4 linked regions of the Arabidopsis thaliana genome follow. The protein of the gene in region 2 interacts with the protein of the main gene of each other region in a pairwise test. Each region holds a gene or a part of one and is shown on either strand. Other genes may lie near its edges. The genes, in order: FYPP1, SAL1, EIR1 and PIN1.

The links.
Region 1: the proteins of SAL1 (region 2) and FYPP1 interact in a two-hybrid assay, tested with the Arabidopsis thaliana proteins (one study listed by BioGRID).
Region 3: the proteins of SAL1 (region 2) and EIR1 interact in a protein complementation assay, tested with the Arabidopsis thaliana proteins (one study listed by BioGRID).
Region 4: the proteins of SAL1 (region 2) and PIN1 interact in a protein complementation assay, tested with the Arabidopsis thaliana proteins (one study listed by BioGRID).

What each region holds. Positions count from the first base shown.
Region 1 is NC_003070.9:18,656,726-18,662,821, forward strand, and holds FYPP1 (Calcineurin-like metallo-phosphoesterase superfamily protein), read left to right. Parts: upstream 1-1,782; 5' UTR 1,783-2,168; coding exon 2,169-2,249; intron 2,250-2,699; coding exon 2,700-2,846; intron 2,847-2,931; coding exon 2,932-2,999; intron 3,000-3,215; coding exon 3,216-3,273; intron 3,274-3,632; coding exon 3,633-3,743; intron 3,744-3,855; coding exon 3,856-3,906; intron 3,907-4,011; coding exon 4,012-4,155; intron 4,156-4,252; coding exon 4,253-4,348; intron 4,349-4,437; coding exon 4,438-4,509; intron 4,510-4,863; coding exon 4,864-4,947; 3' UTR 4,948-5,327; downstream 5,328-6,096. Other genes in the region: VIIIA (P-loop containing nucleoside triphosphate hydrolases superfamily protein), read left to right, coding at 1-381; AT1G50380 (Prolyl oligopeptidase family protein), read left to right, coding at 5,557-5,926, 6,074-6,096. UniProt on the Arabidopsis thaliana protein: Catalytic subunit of protein phosphatase 6 (PP6). Dephosphorylates phosphorylated phytochromes, with a preference toward Pfr forms.
Region 2 is NC_003076.8:25,608,263-25,612,462, forward strand, and holds SAL1 (SAL1 phosphatase-like protein), read left to right. Parts: upstream 1-1,739; coding exon 1,740-1,805; intron 1,806-2,031; coding exon 2,032-2,107; intron 2,108-2,213; coding exon 2,214-2,287; intron 2,288-2,384; coding exon 2,385-2,590; intron 2,591-2,709; coding exon 2,710-3,025; intron 3,026-3,116; coding exon 3,117-3,270; intron 3,271-3,370; coding exon 3,371-3,540; downstream 3,541-4,200. Other genes in the region: RGLG3 (Copine (Calcium-dependent phospholipid-binding protein) family), read right to left, coding at 1-109, 195-335, 422-506, 586-654. UniProt on the Arabidopsis thaliana protein: Phosphatase that converts adenosine 3'-phosphate 5'-phosphosulfate (PAPS) to adenosine 5'-phosphosulfate (APS) and 3'(2')-phosphoadenosine 5'-phosphate (PAP) to AMP. May regulate the flux of sulfur in the sulfur-activation pathway by converting PAPS to APS.
Region 3 is NC_003076.8:23,098,617-23,105,920, forward strand, and holds EIR1 (Auxin efflux carrier family protein), read left to right. Parts: upstream 1-1,899; 5' UTR 1,900-2,148; coding exon 2,149-2,418; exon of another isoform or gene 2,419-2,569; intron 2,570-2,666; coding exon 2,667-2,969; intron 2,970-3,349; coding exon 3,350-3,794; intron 3,795-4,191; coding exon 4,192-4,461; intron 4,462-4,759; coding exon 4,760-5,027; intron 5,028-5,114; coding exon 5,115-5,200; intron 5,201-5,275; coding exon 5,276-5,433; intron 5,434-5,556; coding exon 5,557-5,633; intron 5,634-5,773; coding exon 5,774-5,840; 3' UTR 5,841-6,612; downstream 6,613-7,304. Other genes in the region: AT5G57080 (uncharacterized protein), read left to right, coding at 343-468, 690-752. UniProt on the Arabidopsis thaliana protein: Acts as a component of the auxin efflux carrier. Seems to be involved in the root-specific auxin transport, and mediates the root gravitropism. Its particular localization suggests a role in the translocation of auxin towards the elongation zone.
Region 4 is NC_003070.9:27,657,772-27,663,772, forward strand, and holds PIN1 (Auxin efflux carrier family protein), read left to right. Parts: upstream 1-1,901; 5' UTR 1,902-2,000; coding exon 2,001-3,246; intron 3,247-3,398; coding exon 3,399-3,633; intron 3,634-3,821; coding exon 3,822-3,907; intron 3,908-4,557; coding exon 4,558-4,715; intron 4,716-4,811; coding exon 4,812-4,888; intron 4,889-5,038; coding exon 5,039-5,105; 3' UTR 5,106-5,482; downstream 5,483-6,001. UniProt on the Arabidopsis thaliana protein: Acts as a component of the auxin efflux carrier; this activity is enhanced when activated by D6PK-mediated phosphorylation.

The sequences.
Region 1 (6,096 bases), on a different chromosome or scaffold from region 2:
TCGGTGAATGCAAGCGATGCAACAGATTTAGATTCAGGAGGTAGTCATTACCAAATGGGCCATGGCAGGTCAAGAAGTGTAGGCGTGGGTTTAAGCGTGATAAGCCGGTTAGCTGAGGAATTTGGACAAAGAGCTCAGGTATTTGGTGACGACAGAAAGTTCTTGATGGAAGTGAAATCTGGTCAGGTGGAAGCAAACTTGAATCCGGACCGGGAGCTACGAAGGCTGAAACAGATGTTTGAGACATGGAAGAAAGATTATGGAGGGAGACTAAGGGAAACGAAACTGATACTTAGCAAACTTGGGAGTGAAGAAACAGGTGGTTCAGCGGAGAAGGTGAAGATGAATTGGTGGGGGAGGTTGAGGAGTACTAGGTATTAATGGTTACTTCCTTTTCTTGAGACGCACGTCTCCTTTTCTACACGTTTGATGTAACTACGGTTTTTGGCTTTGCTGCTAGAAGTGAGAAGGCTCCTTGGGACTGAAAGAGTCATGTTTTTCATTTGCCACCCAAATCTATTGGCAAATTCAGTAAATAATTTTTATATTATACAGTATATCTATTTGTCAAGGATTCCAAAGTCCAGTGAACCATTGCTGTATTTGAATATAAATAGTCGTTGCAAAAACAAATCAATATTTATATTTCTTAAATAGTTAAGTTTTTTATCAAGCTAATTAAAATGGACATAGCGAGAAATAACTACAAGGTGGTAAACTATGATAATAATATAAATTTCCTTACAAGTTTGTTTGTTTGTAAACATATGGAGTTAGAAAGGGAAAAAAAAATTGTATAGATTTTATACAAGATTGTTTTGAGTTTAAAAAATCTTTATCGTGTTTGGACAATGTGTATTTTAAAAACTATTTAACTACTAGTTTTTTTGGCCGATTTCAGTGATATCTCGACTTAGACTCTACAAAAATTTAGATAATTTGATGGATAAAATTACATATGATAAATCATGCACTTGTATCAGATGGTCAGTTGGTGGAATCCCTCTTCAACAAGTGATCTTTCTTGGAATGTTGTCGTGGGTTAAAAAAAAACTCAATCCAGCCCAAACCCGAAATGAACATGTCTGAGAAAAATCATTTCTATTCTTGCAGCTGAGTAAACTCTTCACAATTTAAATTTCGAATTACCTTTGCGATGCATCACTTTTTTAAGTGGAACTAAGTTTCGGATCACCTCTCGACCAAGTATAAACCAAACCAACACCAATATATACTTTCCGTAATATTTGGCCCTCCGACTAGTGATTTTTTCGGATGTAATTTGAACATTGGAGATTTTTTGGTGAGACAAATTCCATTTTGTCATTTTTAGAGGTCATCATAACAATACTTTTCCTTCTCAAATTATCCCTAACCAGAAGCCAAATGGGAAGACCCAAACATAAACATTGAAATGAATCGAGTGAGGTTCGCTCTTGAACGATCGTATTGCTAATGCCTATCCAAGATCATTGATTCATTTCTAACATATCCCGTACGGTCTCCCACAAACAACCTTCCTCAAAAGTTCAACATCACATAGATTTCGAAATGTGTCTTTAGACACAATTTGTTTAACAAGACTTTTAAATAATTTTTTTTAGGAGTTTTTAATTATCAAAAAGGTCTTACTCAAATTCAACAACACATATATCGAAATGTGTTTTTTTAAAAAAATTAAAAAGAAGAAAAAATACTATAAAGAAGGTTTAAGTATTTGTGGAATTTTATTTAGGTGTTATCAATTGTCACATTCAAGTAGACAAATAAAATTACCAAGAAAAGAATTGCAAAAACATTGAAAATGTGTAGTATACTCCATTAAAGATTTGTGTAATGAAGTAATAGATAAAAATTAAATTGATGTTTAATATGTTGCCAAAAAAATGATTAAAAATAAATATCCAACGAATAGAGTTTGGGGATGGAGGAAGACCAAATCGGGTTCGGGTCGAGATTGTTTGGTTCGTTGTGTTTCCCCTTTCTCTCTCTCTCCCTCTTTCCCCCTTACGTAACCCTAAGCGGACGGAGCAATGCTCTGCTAGATCTATCTTTCTTTCAATTCTTCACCAGAGATCGTCGAGACTCACCATTGAAATCGAAGAAACAGCACCAATTTCCACTTCACCACCGAAAGAGAGAGACAGAGAGGATAATAAAAGGCCGCCATGGATTTAGATCAATGGATTTCCAAGGTTAAAGACGGCCAACATCTCTCTGAGGACGAGCTTCAACTTCTCTGCGAATACGTACGCCTTCTTCTTCTTTCTTCTTTCTTCTCTTGCTTGCTTTCTCTTCCCCGAATATTCATGCATCTACAAAAACCCAATTCTTCGCTTACTCTTTTGAGACTTTAGAGCTTGCTTTGTGGCACTTTACTTTGAATCTGGTCTCTCTCCCTTACTGTTTCCTTTGCCATTTTGGTCTACGGATTTTAGGGTTTTTCTCTCATTTTTCCAATAGAGGATTTATTGACTTTGCTATTTCAATTCTAAATTCTAAGGAATTAGGGATAAGTTTAGCTCTTCTTTAGCCAATTTATGGATGCACCAAGTCCACGCTTGCAAACTGTTATTTGAGGATTTATTATAGTAATTTTAGTGTTGAAACTTGTAGTAGCAGCCGTCTTCTTCTTTTTTCATGACAATGATTTGCTAAGATACTCTGGTAATTCACAAGATATTTTGACTATTATATAGGTGAAAGAAATTCTTATTGAGGAATCAAATGTACAACCTGTCAACAGTCCTGTCACCGTCTGTGGTGATATCCATGGCCAGTTTCATGATCTTATGAAACTTTTCCAGACCGGAGGTCATGTTCCCGAGACCAATTACATATTTATGGTATAGACTCTGACTTTGGGCGTAGGCTCGTATGACATATCAATATGTAACACATAGTTTAATTATCTGTGGGGGATTTTCTCAGGGGGATTTCGTTGATAGAGGTTACAACAGTCTTGAAGTTTTCACCATTCTTTTGCTTCTTAAAGCAAGGTAAGATTTTCCGTAGAAATTGTGCGTTATATATGTCATGGATCGTCATCCTTCCGTTTCACACTGTATATCATAGTTCTCTTGAGAATGCTCTTTAAGCTGTAAACGCATTGCTCTACTGGAAAATCGATTTAACTTGTATTCCAGGAAATTTATATTCTAACTTACTTTGCTGTGAGCTTAAAATCACTCGTTTCCTTGTATTTCAATATGTAGACATCCAGCCAATATCACTCTTTTGCGTGGAAATCATGAAAGTAGACAGCTAACTCAGGTATGCATTATTCTAATCCATTTATATCTATTGTTGCTGACTTGCTGTGCTCTTCACGCAGTTACTGGTTGAGAAGTAATTTTCGCTCAATTGTTATAACTAGTTTTGAAAGTTTATTTTGTACATGTGGCAATGCCATGCTAGATATAGGCATAGATGTTAACTAAGATGCATTTTATGTGAACCCTTTGCAACCATAAGTTTTCTTCTCGGAAGCTCTTGATTTATCTCTATCCTACACCATATCCTATATCTTTTAACATCCACTGTCAAGGACGAAGATTGTAGTGATATTTTGTGCCCTGCAGGTTCATTTTTATAGTTTTCTTAAATTGTCGTACCAATTTTATATTTGCTAGGTGTATGGTTTCTATGACGAATGCCAAAGGAAGTATGGTAATGCTAATGCTTGGAGATATTGCACGGATGTTTTTGACTATCTTACACTTTCAGCTATTATAGATGGCACTGTAAGTATTTCTCAGCTTCTTTGGCATTGTGTTATGATGTGTTCTTGTATAATTTTATGAATGCATAAGTTAGCTGTATACCATATTAAAACGTATTGCATCCTCAATGTAGGTTCTATGTGTTCATGGTGGCCTTTCACCTGATGTACGGACAATTGACCAGGTTAAAATGTGCTATTTTAAATTACTTTTGGTTTTCACCATGCAAGTGTTATTTATGATTAGATTAAATCTCATTTACTCATTTAGATGTTATTTTGTTCTCTAGATAAGATTGATTGAGCGGAATTGCGAAATACCGCATGAAGGACCCTTCTGTGATCTTATGTGGAGTGATCCTGAAGATATTGAAACATGGGCTGTCAGTCCACGTGGAGCTGGTTGGCTTTTCGGGTCCAGGGTTACCACTGAGGTATTTATATTTTTTTCTGGGGTTGAAATTTGAATAAGGTGTGAAAAGAAATAAATGTATTTCAGTTCCCTGATCTGTGGTTTTGCTTCTTGTGCAGTTTAACCATATTAACAATCTTGATCTAGTATGTCGCGCTCACCAGCTTGTACAAGAAGGTCTCAAGTACATGTTCCAAGATAAAGGTCTTGTAACTGTAAGTGCCTTGCTTCCTTATGATCATTTTGGATAGTTGGAAGTATAATCTGCTTGGTGATGTTTCTTCTCTTTATTTTTTTTGTAAAGGTGTGGTCTGCGCCTAATTACTGCTACCGTTGTGGGAATGTGGCTTCTATATTGAGTTTCAATGACAACATGGTGAGGCATTTGTTTTCTCTTTTGTTACTGATCTGCCACAATATCTTGTTTCATGTTCTTCTTACTTTTATGCACTCGTCTTCGGATTCTACTTTTCCTTTTTGATTAAATAAGTTACTGCCTTTGATACTTGTCTCTCGACCCAAACATATACACATGAGTGACTCTTGTGAGATAGAGTTATGATGTTTAAGCCATTTATTTAGTAACAATTCACAGTTCGCGTGGAATCAGTCTGTCCATATTGATTGTGCTCTGTGTGTTACTTTTCATATATAGACCTGTTTCTGGGAAGTGTTTAGGATCTGGTCCTCACTGACAGTAATGATTTGTTAAAATATGCTTAATTACCAGGAAAGGGAAGTGAAGTTCTTCACGGAGACAGAAGAGAACAATCAAATGAGAGGGCCAAGGACAGGTGTTCCTTATTTCCTGTGATTCATGATGATGATCCTACATCATTATTAGTCTCGTATTGCTCTTATCAAGTTAGCCATTATCATGATTGCCATTGGCTTATGTTCTTTCAAGGTATATCTTCTGATGTTGTTTACACTTCCATTGTTTTTTTTTTCCTTTTTCCATTTTGGAAACATTTTCTTGTGAAAGTGAATGTCACTTTGGTAATTTTAGTGGTTTTGATGCACTTTAACCTGAACCTCTTCTGGATGTTATTATTATACGTGCTTTCTTTCTTGTTTTGTTTCATCTTTGTTCTGTAAGCAAGACCAATTTTTATCATCTCAGCTTATTTGCAGTTTAGCACGGTTTGATTAGGTTCTGGGTTAATCTCAGGCTTATAAAATTCATCAAGCTCAAAAATAGTCCACTACAAGAACATAGAAGACCATTAATCAACATTCAACAGTAATTTGTTTCTAATCTAATTATTTGGTTTTGTTCAATAATCCTAGCAAAAATTCACGAAAGAGTTAATAATTTTGTAACCGGAATCATAGATAGGCCGGTTTATCCAAACCGGATATGACCTGTCCTCTATTAACAAACTGGTCGCGAGTCTCTAGGCAACTAAAACGGACACGTAATATGATAATAAGGCGTGGACTCGTATCTCTCGGCACTCACTTTCTCGCGACTCGTAGTCGTCTTCTCCACTTCGATACTCCTCTCTCTTGCCTCGTTCCTCTTGTTCCTCGCCGCCGCTCTATTCTACGGCTGTCTTCTTCTTTTTCCTCTTCCTCTGAAACCGGAGCTGCGTCAGTGCGGTTGACATCACCGAGAGACATGGCGGAATCGAGATCCCCTCCTGTAGCGAAGAAGGTGGAGCATGTGATGGAGATGTTCGGTGACGTTAGGGTTGACAATTACTACTGGCTCCGTGACGATTCTCGCACCAATCCCGACATGCTTTCTTATCTTCGTGAAGAAAATCACTACACTGATTTCGTCATGTCTGGTGAGTCTTTTCAAGTTGCCTCTGTCAGTGACGTTGTGATACTTAGGGGATTAGGGTTTTTAGCTTTCCTTGTTTTCAATTTGGAGTATTAGTGACTTGTTGATTATGCAAGCTTGTGATAAATTAGACTGGAAAATAAAAATTCAGGGACCAAGCAATTTGAGAATCAG
Region 2 (4,200 bases):
AACTTCAAATGTGGGACAATCTCTCTATATCTTTTAACTGCGTTTTCCAATCCGTCGCAGCTTTTGTTCTCGGGATAAAAGCTGAATACATATTGATCTCGCGTTGTTACTGCAGGAAGAAGAAAACATAAAACCATTAAGAACTTTGGTTTATCTTATTCATTCATCTTGAAAGCAAGAAATAAGAAACTAACCATCGCCAAAACCGAAACAAGGTATAAGATCATCTTCATCAAAGGGAGACAAAGTACGACCAATAATCGATATTGCTTTCTCATATGGATTCTGTCTTTTACCAATGGCATGAAGGCTTTTTCTATTGAATGAATATCTCCCTGCAATGAAAATTCAGAACATTAACCAAAACCATTGAATCTTTTCGTAAACATGTGTAGCATTTTTTATCAAATCAAATAATTACCTGTCCACTCATTGCTCTTGGTAAAGTCAATTCCTAGAATCAGATTTGAAGATTCAAGTCCAGCTTCTCTCAGAGAAGTTATCACCTAAAAAGCAAAGTTCACAAGAAATTCATCACTATGAAAGAGACTAAAATCAAGAAATAACTAAGTAAGTTTATGAGACCTGATCCAAACTGCTGAAATGATCAGCAATATACGAAGGTTGCTGATTACGTTTATTGCTCATGTTCATTGAAAAAACCCTGCAGCACAAGAACCTTCAGAAATCCAATCTTTGGAGAAGAAACCAATCAAAATCAAGAATAAAAGATACAGTTACACAAGTGGCAAGTATATATCAACCTGGAGTTTGTTGAAAACACAAAAGACTTCTCGGAATCTTTCTTGTAAGAAAAAACTTTTGTTGGAGATTATCTTCTGTAGGAAGATTAAATTATTAAAAAGATGGCACAAAAGAGAAATATGAACATATAAAAATACTTTAGCAGAAAAAAATGAACATATAAAACTATAGAAAGTGGGTTTTGTTGAATCTTGAAAGTTAGTGGAACGTGACCCTTTGCTTGCGCCGGCAAATAATCAAAACGTATTTTGCTCTCTCACACGCCATCATCAATCTAGAAATCTTTTTTAGTCTTGTCTCTGCGTCATTAATGATTTATCCATAACCCAAAATCATAGACCAAATTTCAACATGATTCATGTGGACAACGTGGCAAAGCTGTAGCTCTTGTCTGAAGAAAATTATTTGGGCTTTTGATTCCCTCAAAATATATTAACCCAGAACCGTTTTTATTGGGCTTCTTCATTCATCAAGAAGCCTTTTTGTATCTTCACCACCTATAAATTCACTTATGTTTCAACCACAACATCCACGTGCGATTAGCCCAAAACTCAACAACCAATCTACGAAGATCACTAAAGTTTTTTATTTTTATGATTTTCACCGTTTGTACTTGTTCTTTCAATTGGTGCCACATGGACCCCTAAACCAACAGAGCAAATATGGCCTTTCTTGATCTAAAATAAAGTTTAGGGTTTAAGTTCAGAGAATAAATAAGTACACTGGTGTAAATGGGAAATTCAAAAAAGTAATAATAATTGTCTCTGCAATCAGAAAATGTGAAGACATATATTTATCTTCTTGAAAAGCGAATGATGTCTATAAATTGTTTTCGAACAGCGAAGGCTCCGCTTCAATCATTTGTAGCAGTAAGAACGAATTCGAGACCTAGAAATTCATCGAACCGTCTCGTTTCTGTATTCGGACGCAAGTCTTCTTCTCCTTCATTTGTTACTCTCAGAGTTGTTTCATCGATGGCTTACGAGAAAGAGCTTGATGCTGCTAAGAAAGCTGCTTCACTCGCTGCTCGTCTCTGTCAGGTTAGGGTTTTTTCGATTCAATCATGACCCATAGATTCTAAAGTTTGATTCTTTAAGAAACCCATTTTGTAAATCTTCCAAATTTCGTTTAACATTTTGTGTTTATTGTGCATTGCATCTGTAATTGGGAATAGATTCTAGTGATATAGTGTAATGGTCCTCTACATACGAAGCTCGTGTAAATCTTTGATCAAAATCTTATCTTTGTGTTTTGGGTTTGTTTCAGAAAGTTCAAAAGGCTTTGTTGCAATCAGATGTGCAATCAAAATCTGATAAAAGTCCAGTGACCGTTGCTGATTATGGTTAGTTTGTTATACCTGTCCCTGATTAGAAAAAGCTCTTCTCTTTGAATGTTACTGAGATTGTTAGGAAATCACTTAATTTGATCTGTCTTGTGTTGAATTTCAGGTTCACAAGCAGTTGTTAGTTTAGTCTTAGAAAAAGAGCTCAGTTCTGAACCCTTTTCATTGGTGGCTGAAGAGGTGAAACTGCTTAATAAATCCTTGTTAGATGTCTCACACTTTACTTATCTTTGAGTTTGTGTTTATGGACTCACATTGTCTAAAATGATCTATATAGGACTCAGGCGATCTACGCAAGGATGGTTCTCAGGATACTCTGGAGCGCATCACAAAACTCGTGAACGACACTTTGGCTACCGAGGAATCGTTTAATGGCTCTACTTTGTCTACTGATGATCTACTTAGAGCCATTGACTGTGGAACATCTGAAGGTGGTCCAAATGGTCGACACTGGGTCTTGGATCCAATTGATGGCACTAAAGGGTACGTTTTAAAACTAACTAGCCTAAAGTCAAATCTTCTTATTTCAGAGAAAATGTAAATTTGATAGAATGTTGAGTCAGATGTTATGTTCCTGACACTGAGCATTTTCATGATTTTAGATTTCTGAGGGGAGATCAATACGCAGTAGCACTAGGATTGCTCGAGGAAGGGAAAGTAGTTTTAGGTGTGCTTGCTTGTCCAAACTTGCCGTTAGCATCCATAGCAGGAAACAACAAGAACAAATCTTCGTCAGACGAAATTGGATGCCTCTTCTTTGCTACAATTGGTTCAGGGACATATATGCAGCTCCTAGATTCAAAATCTTCTCCTGTAAAAGTGCAAGTCTCTAGTGTTGAGAATCCTGAAGAGGCATCGTTCTTCGAGTCATTCGAAGGAGCTCACTCTCTACATGACTTATCCAGCTCCATTGCCAATGTAAATTGCTTCTTTCCTTCCATGTGATTCCAGCTAATAGCTAACTAATTTTCCTCATCCATTTGATCATGTTCTATGTTGTAATATACAGAAACTCGGTGTCAAAGCTCCACCAGTCCGTATTGATAGCCAAGCAAAGTATGGAGCTTTATCAAGAGGAGATGGAGCTATATACTTACGGTTTCCTCATAAAGGATACCGCGAAAAGATTTGGGACCATGTCGCTGGTGCTATAGTTGTTACAGGTAACATTAAAGCTTACTCTCTATGAAGCTAATTTTATAGTGTCGACATGCGGATGTAAATAGATAAGGAATGCAAGGTTGATTCTTCTTTTTGGTGCAGAGGCGGGTGGAATAGTGACAGATGCAGCAGGAAAGCCACTGGATTTCTCGAAAGGGAAGTATCTTGATTTGGACACAGGCATTATCGTTGCTAACGAGAAGCTAATGCCTCTGCTTTTGAAAGCAGTTCGTGACTCCATAGCTGAGCAAGAGAAAGCTTCAGCTCTCTGATTTGTTTTTTTCTCTCGTACGTTCTTTGTTTCTCTGTAACTGTTGTTTCATTTTCTTTCACCGAATTTCACCAGTGAGAATTTCTTCCATTTTCGAAAAAGAAATAAAAATGAAATTCTGTTTTGGGCTAAGTATAAAGGGTTATGTAGAGAATTTAATATGGACCAGTAACGGGCCGTAAAAAGGCCTTTTAAGGGTTACATGCATGATGCACCGACGTACGTGTCTACAGTGCGTAGATACTTTATCTTAATACGAAAGTAAGCGCGTTAAGTAGAAAATCTCTTCATATAGAAATAATTAATATGGTGTAAATAGTTTTTTTTTTTCTTTGGTTATAGTATAACTAAAATATTATTGTGTACCATCTTACAAAAAAATATATATTATTGTGCAACTTTTAGAAATTCGTGATTTTATTCCCAATAATATCCCATTCACGATGAAAGGAATCGTTGAGACTTTGTAAATAATTAAATGTAGTCTAGTGATCTAGTCAAACTTTATAAAGGGGCGATCACAAATCTACTAGTCGCACAATTTTTTTTAATCTTTTCATGTGAATAATATATACTAGCTGCTTTGTTTTTAATCCATGTTACAAAGATATTTTGTGTTAATAATGATAAGTTGTTGATATAACACACAATAACCTGTTTT
Region 3 (7,304 bases), 2.5 Mb from region 2:
AGTACCGAATGATGTGACATATCTGATGAGGTTTGAGGTATTGAACTCTCATGATTGTCAAGTGATGGTCTTGAAGCTTATAAACGATCCTCAAAAAAGTGTTTTGATATTTCCATAATTCTTTAGAGTAGCTTGACCTTATTATATAATTCAAAACTTTGGCCTTAGATAATGAGATTCAGGCAGGGAGGTGACGTGTTACTCACGCGCGAGAGCTGCGCGTTCAAATCATAAAAAGCCGACTTGCTATAAAAGCAAACTTGTTGATGATGGTTCAAAATTTCGAAAAGCTTTTCAAATTTCTCTTCATATCGCGCGCTCAGTCAAAAAGCAGAGCCAAAGATGAAGAAACCGTATAAAGGAAAGTTGCCGACGGGAACTCCGTCTCTGGCAATGTCAACACTCGTCGTCGTTGCTTCCCTTCTCGCCGGAGCCTCCGTTGTCCACAACATCTACAAACCAGATCTCGTAAGCTTCACCTTCTCTTTCTGTACATATGTTAGGGTTCTCAAATGTATTAGGTTTGCTCACTTTCTTCGTTCTTGATAATGCCCATAAGCGTGATCGGTTTAAAACCATTCATTTCGTTCTCTGGCTCTGTGATCTCTCTTTTATTGTAATGCACATAAGGTGTTCGATGAATTGCCCATGAGAGATTTGTAATCTGATTGCTTTTTACTTTTGTGCAGAGTTTACCACCGTTGGAAAGTAGTGAAGTGGCCAAGAAGGATGATTCTGTAAACAAAGTTTGAATCTTTCAATAGTTTCATCCTGTTTTATCAGGCTACATTCACTTTGGTTGTTCTCTTTCAATTCATGAGTTAACAAAAAAACATGGATAAAGTTTAAAACTGAGATCACTTATTAAAGGCTTTTATTCTTCTTCCTCTTGTGAAGATGTAAAGAAGAACAAACTCTTTTTAGGTTTCTTGTTGGTCAATTCACCGTTTTTTTTAAAGAGATATAAGAAATCGCGATGATCGTGTAGATGACATAGAGACCAACGAATTGATGGAGTCTTTGCTACGGATTGTGGAAAACCATGTCTTCGATACATATTGGAACTTCAAAAGAGATTTTAGTGATAATCTAGTTAGTATCTCCATCGTTAGATCCATAGGTCCATTAGGCCCAAACGCCCAATCACGTGGCGTGATAAATACGTTAACAATTGCAATATGAAGAAAACACGACAATTAAATATGGAAGAGAGGCTAATTATTCATCGGTCCAATTGCCAATGTCTTTGACTGTAGTTAATAATAAATCATTAAGAGATTTTCGTTTAAAAACAAAAATACACCGTTTCAAGATTAAAAGATAAGTTAATTACAATTGTATTTTTCCTGATTAAAAATCAGATGTTTACAGGGAACCGCAGATCGCTCAGAAAGTGTAGTAAGATGCTCGCAAAAACCATGTGCATGTCCATCAACCTTCGCCGTCTCAATAGCTTACACAAAAATCGTTTTTGTTTTCTTATTAATATAAAACCTAATCTAAATTTACAAATTTGTTTTCTTATTAATATAAAATCTAATCTAAATTTACAAATTTGTATTACACGTACAAGTGGATCCAAGTATCTGACTCTACAGATATTTTGAATCTAACATTTGTGTAATTATAATTTATAATCTCTGAAGCATTTAATTTTACTTACAAATAATGTTAGACCACGAGACAGAAGGTAAACCAATCTTCCTTATCCCAAGATAAGATTCTTCAAATTAAATATAACGGCTTTTTGCAGAAGTAATAAAGATAGAAGGAATATCTAGTATCAACGGAAAAAAAGAAAAAATCTAGAGCACTTCGAAAAATTATGGACCAAAGAAGATTCAGACTGAAATTATTACTGTATTAGTATTTGTCCATTCACAAAATGCCGAGGAAGAAAAAAGGCATTTTGGTTTATATTTTGTTTATTTGATATTCAAATGTCCAACGATCCTCTCTAGCTAAGCTTAGCTATAATTCAATGTTTGAACACGAATCCCATTATTTTAACACAAACAACATTAATTAAATATCGTCTCAAGGAACTTCACTTCCTTGTCCATAAATACGTTATTTCACACCACATATACTCATCTATATCTCTATTTTTCTTCTTCTTCTCTCTCTCGCCGGAAAAAGTAAATCAAAATGATCACCGGCAAAGACATGTACGATGTTTTAGCGGCTATGGTGCCGCTATACGTTGCTATGATATTAGCCTATGGTTCGGTACGGTGGTGGGGGATATTCACACCGGACCAATGTTCCGGTATAAACCGGTTCGTTGCGGTTTTCGCGGTTCCTCTTCTCTCTTTCCATTTCATCTCCTCCAATGATCCTTATGCAATGAATTACCACTTCCTCGCTGCTGATTCTCTTCAGAAAGTCGTTATCCTCGCCGCACTCTTTCTTTGGCAGGCCCGTCTCTTTCAATAATCTCTCTATGCACATAATCTATCTTCATTAAGTGATGGTAGTCTACTAGTAATTGCTATGATGGTCAATTTTTACTCGAAAACATATTGGTTATCGAAAGCTTATAGTATAGTAACTATGTCATTTAACACGGGTAAATATTTTAGTTAACATTTTAGCTCTTTTGTAATATGTGTCTCTAAACACACACATTCTCATGTTTGTGTATATATTGTGATATTATTTTTTAGGCGTTTAGCCGCAGAGGAAGCCTAGAATGGATGATAACGCTCTTTTCACTATCAACACTGCCTAACACGTTGGTAATGGGAATCCCATTGCTTAGGGCGATGTACGGAGACTTCTCCGGTAACCTAATGGTGCAGATCGTGGTGCTTCAGAGCATCATATGGTATACATTAATGCTCTTCTTGTTTGAGTTCCGTGGGGCTAAGCTTCTCATCTCCGAGCAGTTCCCGGAGACGGCTGGTTCAATTACTTCCTTCAGAGTTGACTCTGATGTTATCTCTCTTAATGGCCGTGAACCCCTCCAGGTATGAATTTTTCACTGATGACCTTTTTCATATGTTTGTTCAAATTAACGGACCGGTTAACTCAAGTAAACTAGAAAATGGGTAGTTACTAGTTACGACATGACTACATGTCATTTTGGGATTCCTTTTTGCCTATGTAAATCTATAACAAATTTTGAGTTTTGTCTGAGTTCCTTTTTCAGAAGTCAAAAATAATCTTCAAAGTGACGTGTTACATTATTCACGCAGAATTTAATAATTAGTACAATATAAGAAATATCAAGTTATTAACTATAGTCTAGTTGAATTTTCATTCTTTTTGTACCGATTCGGTTATATCCGGTTTAAATCACATCGACTCGAAATTCATCACCTAAAAATATGGATTTATCTTTCATTAGACCGATGCGGAGATAGGAGACGACGGAAAGCTACACGTGGTGGTTCGAAGATCAAGTGCCGCCTCATCAATGATCTCTTCATTCAACAAATCTCACGGCGGAGGACTTAACTCCTCCATGATAACGCCGCGAGCTTCAAATCTCACCGGCGTAGAGATTTACTCCGTTCAATCGTCACGAGAGCCGACGCCGAGAGCTTCTAGCTTTAATCAGACAGATTTCTACGCAATGTTTAACGCAAGCAAAGCTCCAAGCCCTCGTCACGGTTACACTAATAGCTACGGCGGCGCTGGAGCTGGTCCAGGTGGAGATGTTTACTCACTTCAGTCTTCTAAAGGCGTGACGCCGAGAACGTCAAATTTTGATGAGGAAGTTATGAAGACGGCGAAGAAAGCAGGAAGAGGAGGCAGAAGTATGAGTGGGGAATTATACAACAATAATAGTGGTATGAATTTTTTAATATATATATATATATATATTTATTTTTTATTTATTTTTTTAAAAAAATATATTTTGCTTCTTTATAAATTTAAATAGATATAAGAATCGATTCAGATATTATTATTATTTTCCATCAGTCACCGGTGATTATAAGTGGGATATTATTAGGTTTAAAAAGGTTTAAAAGTTAAGTAAAGAGTTCATCAAATAATTTTGCGTAATTATTTTTTTCTTTTAACAAAATAATAATAATTTAGTATATCACTTCCAAAACTCTTAGGTTTTTAAACTGATTATAGTTTTGGAAAACAAAATATTAATTTTGTATTTTGAAATTTAAATGTGATTTTTTCATTATAATGTAATGTTTTAAAATAAAATTTTCTATAATTTATGGTCAGTTCCGTCGTACCCACCGCCGAACCCAATGTTCACGGGGTCAACGAGTGGAGCAAGTGGAGTCAAGAAAAAGGAAAGTGGTGGCGGAGGAAGCGGTGGCGGAGTAGGAGTAGGAGGACAAAACAAGGAGATGAACATGTTCGTGTGGAGTTCGAGTGCTTCTCCGGTGTCGGAAGCCAACGCGAAGAATGCTATGACCAGAGGTTCTTCCACCGATGTATCCACCGACCCTAAAGTTTCTATTCCTCCTCACGACAACCTCGCTACTAAAGGTTTATTAATCTCCAACTTATTTCATATTTTTTTTTATCATTACTTGCCACGCTTCTATTTTTTTTTTAACTTTTAGGAAAAATGTATAAAGCTCAATATCGGTTCTAAGTTTTTTTTATAGTTTTTTCAAAGTTTCAAAACTTATGAAAACTTTTAAACTAATTAAAGTAGATTTTTATTTGGTTCCGTACGGCTTTCTATAAGTTAGTTTTTTGGTCGAAGAAAGGTCATAATAAATTTAGTTTAGTATTTTCTGTGATATTTAATTATAATTATATTCATACTTGGTGATGACAGCGATGCAGAATCTGATAGAGAACATGTCACCGGGAAGAAAAGGGCATGTGGAAATGGACCAAGACGGTAATAACGGGGGAAAGTCACCTTACATGGGCAAAAAAGGTAGCGACGTGGAAGACGGCGGTCCCGGTCCTAGGAAACAGCAGATGCCGCCGGCGAGTGTGATGACGAGACTAATTCTGATAATGGTTTGGAGAAAACTCATTCGAAACCCTAACACTTACTCTAGTCTCTTTGGCCTTGCTTGGTCCCTTGTCTCTTTCAAGTAAGTACTAATAATAATGTCACAATCATATAACATAACAATATATTTGGGCAATTGCTTGATGTTGTTGATCATTTTATGGGACAGGTGGAATATAAAGATGCCAACGATAATGAGTGGATCGATTTCGATATTATCTGATGCTGGTCTTGGAATGGCTATGTTTAGTCTTGGTATAGTTCCCTTCATATATATATTTAGTTATAGTCTTTGGTGCTTTTTTTTTTGCTAATTATTGATACATATAGGTCTATTTATGGCATTGCAACCAAAGATTATTGCGTGCGGAAAATCAGTAGCAGGGTTTGCGATGGCCGTAAGGTTCTTGACTGGACCAGCCGTGATCGCAGCCACCTCAATAGCAATTGGTATTCGAGGTGATCTCCTCCATATCGCCATCGTTCAGGTGATTACTCTTTAGTCTTATATATATTTCAATCTAACTTACAGTTTGATGTTTTAGCTAGTGATGTTGGGTTTCTTTGAAAAATATAATTGATAAGAATATATATAATTGTATGTTTTGAAGGCTGCTCTTCCTCAAGGAATCGTTCCTTTTGTTTTCGCCAAAGAATATAACGTCCATCCTGATATTCTCAGCACTGCGTAAGTTATTTAAGTTATAAAATATTTAATTTTCATTCTTAAACTTCATTTTAATACTATATATAAGATATTAATTTGGTATTCAAACTATACAAAGTTACAGAGATCTCCTAAGCTAAAAACTTGATATTATTTTTCAGGGTTATATTCGGAATGCTGGTTGCTTTGCCTGTAACAGTACTCTACTACGTTCTTTTGGGGCTTTAAGTTATTATCAAAACGTATTTGCAAATAAAAGGCGATACGACCCAAAGGTGATTTTTTTTCAAACGAAAAAGAATAATTACAAGAACGAAAAAAGACTAATTCCAGGTCAGGCTTAGGTGTATGGGACCATGCAATGTCGCATTAATTAAATTATAGCATATGATAGTCGAAAATTTAGATAACTTTGTATAATTAATTATATGCACATGCATGTACGTGACTTTGTAGTTTTTGTTACATTTATTAAATTTTTGGGATGTGCAAGTACAATTATTTACTATTGATTAGTTTTTTCTATTTATCGATGGTCGTGAAGCATGTTATTAAATTACACTAATATTTCATCATATACTAGTCAAGTATTACTAGATCGCGCAGTCTGTTTAGATTAGATCTTGTGCTTTTCTAAATCTCCATACAATTCTTTATTTTGTTTTGGATCAAATGCACTAATACTTCCACATATAACCTTTTTATTTCATTTCTTTTGTCTTATATATTTATGTTTTTGTTTGTATGTAAAGTTAATTATGAACGTTATTTTTTTTGTTAAAAAATTATGAACGTAATATTCGGTTGAAGCTTGAAGGTAGTCGCATTTTAATTCGATGAGTAAAGAACAATCAAACTTATAATAGAATTTAATTTTCCTTTATTTTAGTATATACTTATCTGTCACCAATAAGATATCACTCGGACTATTTTTGGAGTGATACAAAGAATTTGCGTGGAGAAAGAAACATTTCAAATGAAAGCACTAGTCTAGACAATTGATTGTGTAGTAAGATAGTTGCTGATGATAAGTTTTGCGTTATAGACAAATTGTGCATATCTAACATGTGTGAATATCTTAACGAGTGATCAAACTTTTCAACCAAACTGTCCAAAGTTTTTATGAAATAGAAATTATTTTTCTTCTTTTTCCTTGCGTTTGATTAATTATGAGCTCCTCAAAACGTATCGGTGATCGGCGCTTGAATTTAAGTATGTAAATGTAATGTACTAGAAAAGATGGCTTGGCTCTGGAGGCGTTGACTGTGTAACGTGAAAACGATCACGTGGGGTATCAAAACGATGAGATATACGTTGGAACTCGCTCTTTGGTCGGAACGTAATTGAACGAACAACAACACATGAGAAATTCAATAACAATTCTTCTCTATATAGTTGTCCTGACCTCTGACTTATCTGACAATAGATCTTTTAATAGTTTACACGTAAAAATATTTATTATTCAATGAAGTGCGTAAGAGAAATAGCATATGTATACTAAGGGTAAAAGTATTTATACGTTTTGATGTTTTCAGAAGGTTTTGTGCATTGAGTAGGAGACAACATTTGCTCAGTGACAGCTCTTGTCTCTCTAGGCACCTTACTATTATAATGTCTCATCGTGAATCTTATCTTGTATAACAAATTAATGTTCATATTGTTTCAAGTACATTATAGCACATGTTTATAAAC
Region 4 (6,001 bases), on a different chromosome or scaffold from region 2:
ACCAAACTATCTTACTCTCTTTTCCATTTTTCCCGTTTCAAGTGTTTGCTAAAAGATCAATTTTAATTTTCTCGTTTCAAGTATTTGCTAAAAGGTCATCCATCACCCATAACCATAAGTCAAGCCGTGCAAACATAGAGTATTAGAAAAAACGTTAATTTGAGTTCAATATTACACAAAGTCGCAGTTGTAACAAGGATTTGCACAACAAAAGATTGAAAGATTAATGGATTAGTGACAAATAATTTGAAAGATCCAAAATATCATTAACTATATGGAATGTGAAAAAATCCTGCAATTTTTTTTTTTTTTTTGCCGTGTTAAAAATTCAATTCTTTCAAAGAACCAATTTTAAAATTATTTGTCAGTAAAAAAAAATAGAAACTACTTGATTTATAATTTTTAATAGAAAAATGATGTTAAGTCATCAACTCTTTTATTTTTTCGTAACTTCTCAACATATTTACTTTATTCGGATTGCATAACCTACTTTTTTTGTGTGTATAGTCTCTTTAAGCGCAAGAAATGGCAAGGAAAGTCGAATTATATTAGTACTATATATTATTATTATGCTTAAAAAAAAGTTGAAAACATTGGAAAAATAAAAAGCTGGAAAGAAAAAAAAAAGAAGAACTGTGTTTGTATGGGATGATGAGAAAAATGAAGAGCAGACTGTTGATGGAATATTGTGTTTCCTCAAATATCAACACTCCTCATTATATCATCAACCCATTGCTTTTTGTACGGACTTTATTAGTAGTATTAAAGAACACATCAGACTGATTTGTGTAAGCAAACCAGAACCACCCTCTTTTCAACATTTTTCTTTCAAAAAACTTCTACGTATTTATGTTCAATAAAACTTTGTTACTAATTTTCTCAACGAAATATATTTTATAAAACTTTGTTAGTAATGTTATACAGTAAACAGTAAAAGAAAATAAGTTCCAAGATGAGCGATCAAAGGATTGAATAGTTCATAAATAATTCGTATGCGCAACTACAACTGTAAATGATAACCTATGCAATGATAACTCACACACACCCATCTCACATGAAAAAGTGATTTCGACCTTATGTTAGTGATATCACATCTTTTCTTTTATCTCCACCCACAAAGTCTTTGGTTAGGAACTAGTTTGTTCAATTGCAACCATTTTTCCAAAGACTTTCAACCTCTCTTCGGAGAAGACTTCTATCTTTAAAACCAAAATTTTCTAAGTTCATATAAACATCAAATCGAGCCTTATATCATCACTTCAATGTGTATTTATCTTCTGTTGTGATTTATCAATTGAAAGTCAATACCAAAAATCCCATCATACTAATCACAATAATTTATAGCAAAAATAAATTTAACAATTTTTAAACATGGTAAAAATATAAATTTAATAATTAGTATAGGGGATAAATTGATCAACCGAATAGATTAATTCATAATTTGAAAAGGCCAAAAAAAAAAGAGAGAGGCAAAAACAGAGGCTCTGCTTTGGACTCCGCAAAGCGCACAAGGCCGCCTCTTTCACTATCCCCAAAGCTCCACCACGCACCCATCAACCACCATTTTTATTTCGTTTTTATTACATTCAAAAAAACTTCTTTTTGTCGTATTTCAATCAAAATTACATCACACACACTATTATGTTGGAATGTTTAACAAAACAAATAAATATGTTGAGCTATTCCAATTTTACATTTAATGTTTTTTTACTCCTACACGTAAACTACTTTTGAATATAATATCTAGAAACTAACCAAATAATCGAAAACGAAAATAATAAAATCAGCAAACAGTTTTAGCTTCATTAACAAAATATATATATGTTTAATTAAAAAATATGGTATTTTCTCAACGGACAAAAAAATAAAATAAAAAGAATATAAAAATGTGGTCTCTTCTCAACACTCACTTTACTCTTTTTTCCCTCTTCACCACTTCTCTCTCAAACTAAAGACAAAAGCTCTTCTCTCTTCCCTCTCTCTTCTCCGGCGAACAAAAGATGATTACGGCGGCGGACTTCTACCACGTTATGACGGCTATGGTTCCGTTATACGTAGCTATGATCCTCGCTTACGGCTCTGTCAAATGGTGGAAAATCTTCACACCAGACCAATGCTCCGGCATAAACCGTTTCGTCGCTCTCTTCGCCGTTCCTCTCCTCTCTTTCCACTTCATCGCCGCTAACAACCCTTACGCCATGAACCTCCGTTTCCTCGCCGCAGATTCTCTCCAGAAAGTCATTGTCCTCTCTCTCCTCTTCCTCTGGTGCAAACTCAGCCGCAACGGTTCTTTAGATTGGACCATAACTCTCTTCTCTCTCTCGACACTCCCCAACACTCTAGTCATGGGGATACCTCTTCTCAAAGGCATGTATGGTAATTTCTCCGGCGACCTCATGGTTCAAATCGTTGTTCTTCAGTGTATCATTTGGTACACACTCATGCTCTTTCTCTTTGAGTACCGTGGAGCTAAGCTTTTGATCTCCGAGCAGTTTCCAGACACAGCAGGATCTATTGTTTCGATTCATGTTGATTCCGACATTATGTCTTTAGATGGAAGACAACCTTTGGAAACTGAAGCTGAGATTAAAGAAGATGGGAAGCTTCATGTTACTGTTCGTCGTTCTAATGCTTCAAGGTCTGATATTTACTCGAGAAGGTCTCAAGGCTTATCTGCGACACCTAGACCTTCGAATCTAACCAACGCTGAGATATATTCGCTTCAGAGTTCAAGAAACCCAACGCCACGTGGCTCTAGTTTTAATCATACTGATTTTTACTCGATGATGGCTTCTGGTGGTGGTCGGAACTCTAACTTTGGTCCTGGAGAAGCTGTGTTTGGTTCTAAAGGTCCTACTCCGAGACCTTCCAACTACGAAGAAGACGGTGGTCCTGCTAAACCGACGGCTGCTGGAACTGCTGCTGGAGCTGGGAGGTTTCATTATCAATCTGGAGGAAGTGGTGGCGGTGGAGGAGCGCATTATCCGGCGCCGAACCCAGGGATGTTTTCGCCCAACACTGGCGGTGGTGGAGGCACGGCGGCGAAAGGAAACGCTCCGGTGGTTGGTGGGAAAAGACAAGACGGAAACGGAAGAGATCTTCACATGTTTGTGTGGAGCTCAAGTGCTTCGCCGGTCTCAGATGTGTTCGGCGGTGGAGGAGGAAACCACCACGCCGATTACTCCACCGCTACGAACGATCATCAAAAGGACGTTAAGATCTCTGTACCTCAGGGGAATAGTAACGGTATAGTCCCTCTATAACTTTGTTGTTTTGTTTTCGCACCCTAATTTATTTTCTTTACAAAAACACCCCCAAAATTTCTCTATGTCCTTCGATATTTATGATTTGGTTAAGGGGTTCTTTAATTGTTTACATGTGTTGTTGCCTTACTTTAGACAACCAGTACGTGGAGAGGGAAGAGTTTAGTTTCGGTAACAAAGACGATGATAGCAAAGTATTGGCAACGGACGGTGGGAACAACATAAGCAACAAAACGACGCAGGCTAAGGTGATGCCACCAACAAGTGTGATGACAAGACTCATTCTCATTATGGTTTGGAGGAAACTTATTCGTAATCCCAACTCTTACTCCAGTTTATTCGGCATCACCTGGTCCCTCATTTCCTTCAAGTACTGTTTCAAACTTGTCTTATTTTCACTTTACTTTGGTTTTGGTCTACTATTTTAACCACTTTCTTGATGCATAAAGGGTCAGCCTTGAATGCGTATATGTTTGAAAGTTTTTTCTGATAGATTGAAGTAACAAAAGATTTGAGAAAGATCTCTTTATTGGAATTAAATTGATGTGGTCTGTGCAGGTGGAACATTGAAATGCCAGCTCTTATAGCAAAGTCTATCTCCATACTCTCAGATGCAGGTCTAGGCATGGCTATGTTCAGTCTTGGTCAGTTCCTTTTTCTCTTTTCTTTTATTTTTACCTCTTTTCATTTATTACATAATTAAATACCATAAAACAGTCAATTGTTCTCTTTATTTCTGACCTTCATTCTTTATGGTGTTTTTTAAATTTTAAATGATTTTAAGAAAAAAAACAAATCATGTGGAAGCATGATTCTCTCTGTTTTCTTTTTCTTTGAAGTTTTTTTGAAACATGTTTGTATCAAAAAAGCAAACAAAACTGGCTTCACAGCAGAAAGCATGCTCCACAGTTCTCTGCTTATCATCATAACATGTCTCTCCCTTGAATAGGAGGAACCATTTTTTATTTTCTCTTAAAGCAACAAACAATTTTTTTATACCTAATATTGACCCCCTTATCGATGAAAAAACTTTCTTTTTTACCTTGTTTATGTTTCAGTAGACTTCCATCAACTGATTATAAAATTTGTGCTTAATCATGACTTTATGGAATGAATAGTTTAGGATAACGATAATGATGATGTTAATGTTGTGGTGGTGGATCAGTGGCTGTGATGATTATTTTTATGTCACTCTTTTGCAGCTAAAAACAGTGTATAAACTTAAATTAACCAAAAAGCAAAACAATAATAAATTATTTGTTTAAATTTGTGGCTTTTTTTGGATGTGTTAAAGGGTTGTTCATGGCGTTAAACCCAAGAATAATAGCTTGTGGAAACAGAAGAGCAGCTTTTGCGGCGGCTATGAGATTTGTCGTTGGACCTGCCGTCATGCTCGTTGCTTCTTATGCCGTTGGCCTCCGTGGCGTCCTCCTCCATGTTGCCATTATCCAGGTAGTTTTTATTTGCATGATCAAATATGAAACACTTCTGTTGTGTCTACTGTCGTTTATACGATTTCTAACCATTATTTTTATTGACAACAAACAGGCAGCTTTGCCGCAAGGAATAGTACCGTTTGTGTTTGCCAAAGAGTATAATGTGCATCCTGACATTCTTAGCACTGCGTAAGTTTATTAATCTATTAAATAGTTTTGTTGTTATAACAATAAATTTTGTTGTAGAAAAAAAGTTAGGTTGGTTTTGCCTACATTAATTATGATTAGGTGTATATATAAATATATTTTTGTTAACGTGAGTTCTGATTTTTGTTGCAGGGTGATATTTGGGATGTTGATCGCGTTGCCCATAACTCTTCTCTACTACATTCTCTTGGGTCTATGAAGAGATATTACCAAAACACAGGGACTTTGTTTTATTCTTTTGTGGGATGATGAATTGTGAAAAGAACAATGCCCTTTTTGTTGAAAACCCACAAATTAAATCAGAAGCAGCTTTAGAGAATCTTTGAGGATAATTGAAGCTCTTGAAGAAGAGAAGAAGAAGGAGACTTAAGTAGGAGCTCAGCAAGTTTTACCTTTTTCTTAATTTTAATGAACATTCGTGTTTCCTCTTTTGGTAGGTTTTAGGAATTTGTAAAAGCTTTGGCTACTTTTAGTGAATTAAAAACGTTAAGGAAAATATCAAATTTTGTGTGCATGCTAAAAGTGAATTGGTGTGTATAGGTCTAAATCTCACCAAAATAAGAAGTGTTTTAGCCATTTCAAAAGTTAAGTTCACTTAACATTTCTATGTTTCGTTTGCCTAAATGTGAAAAATCAGAAACTAAAACAGTAAAGTACATCTTCCACAAAATGTTTGAGAAAGGGATTTCTACGGGGGATTTGGGAAAATTTAAAACGTAGTCATGAATATTAGAAACTTTACAATAGCTTAGGTGGGAAGGTATGAAATAGCATGTGACTATAACAACACAGACGACACGAGTATTGGATTCAACAGAACACTCGATTAAATATGTAGAAGATAGGGGACTTGGTGCATGCGTTACGTTATTCGACTTGGTCAAGATTCCTCTTCACTGCGTTTGTGGAATCTTGAAAGATTCGTTTAGTGTTGTCAATTGTGTATCCTTTTACCGATTCTTCTCAGAATCATTACATACCACTTAGATGCTGATGCTTTTTATGAATAAAAACAAACCTTCATATTTATACGACGATCTTATATAATGATAAATCAAATGTATAATACTTAACTTGGTTTGAATTGTACTCTCG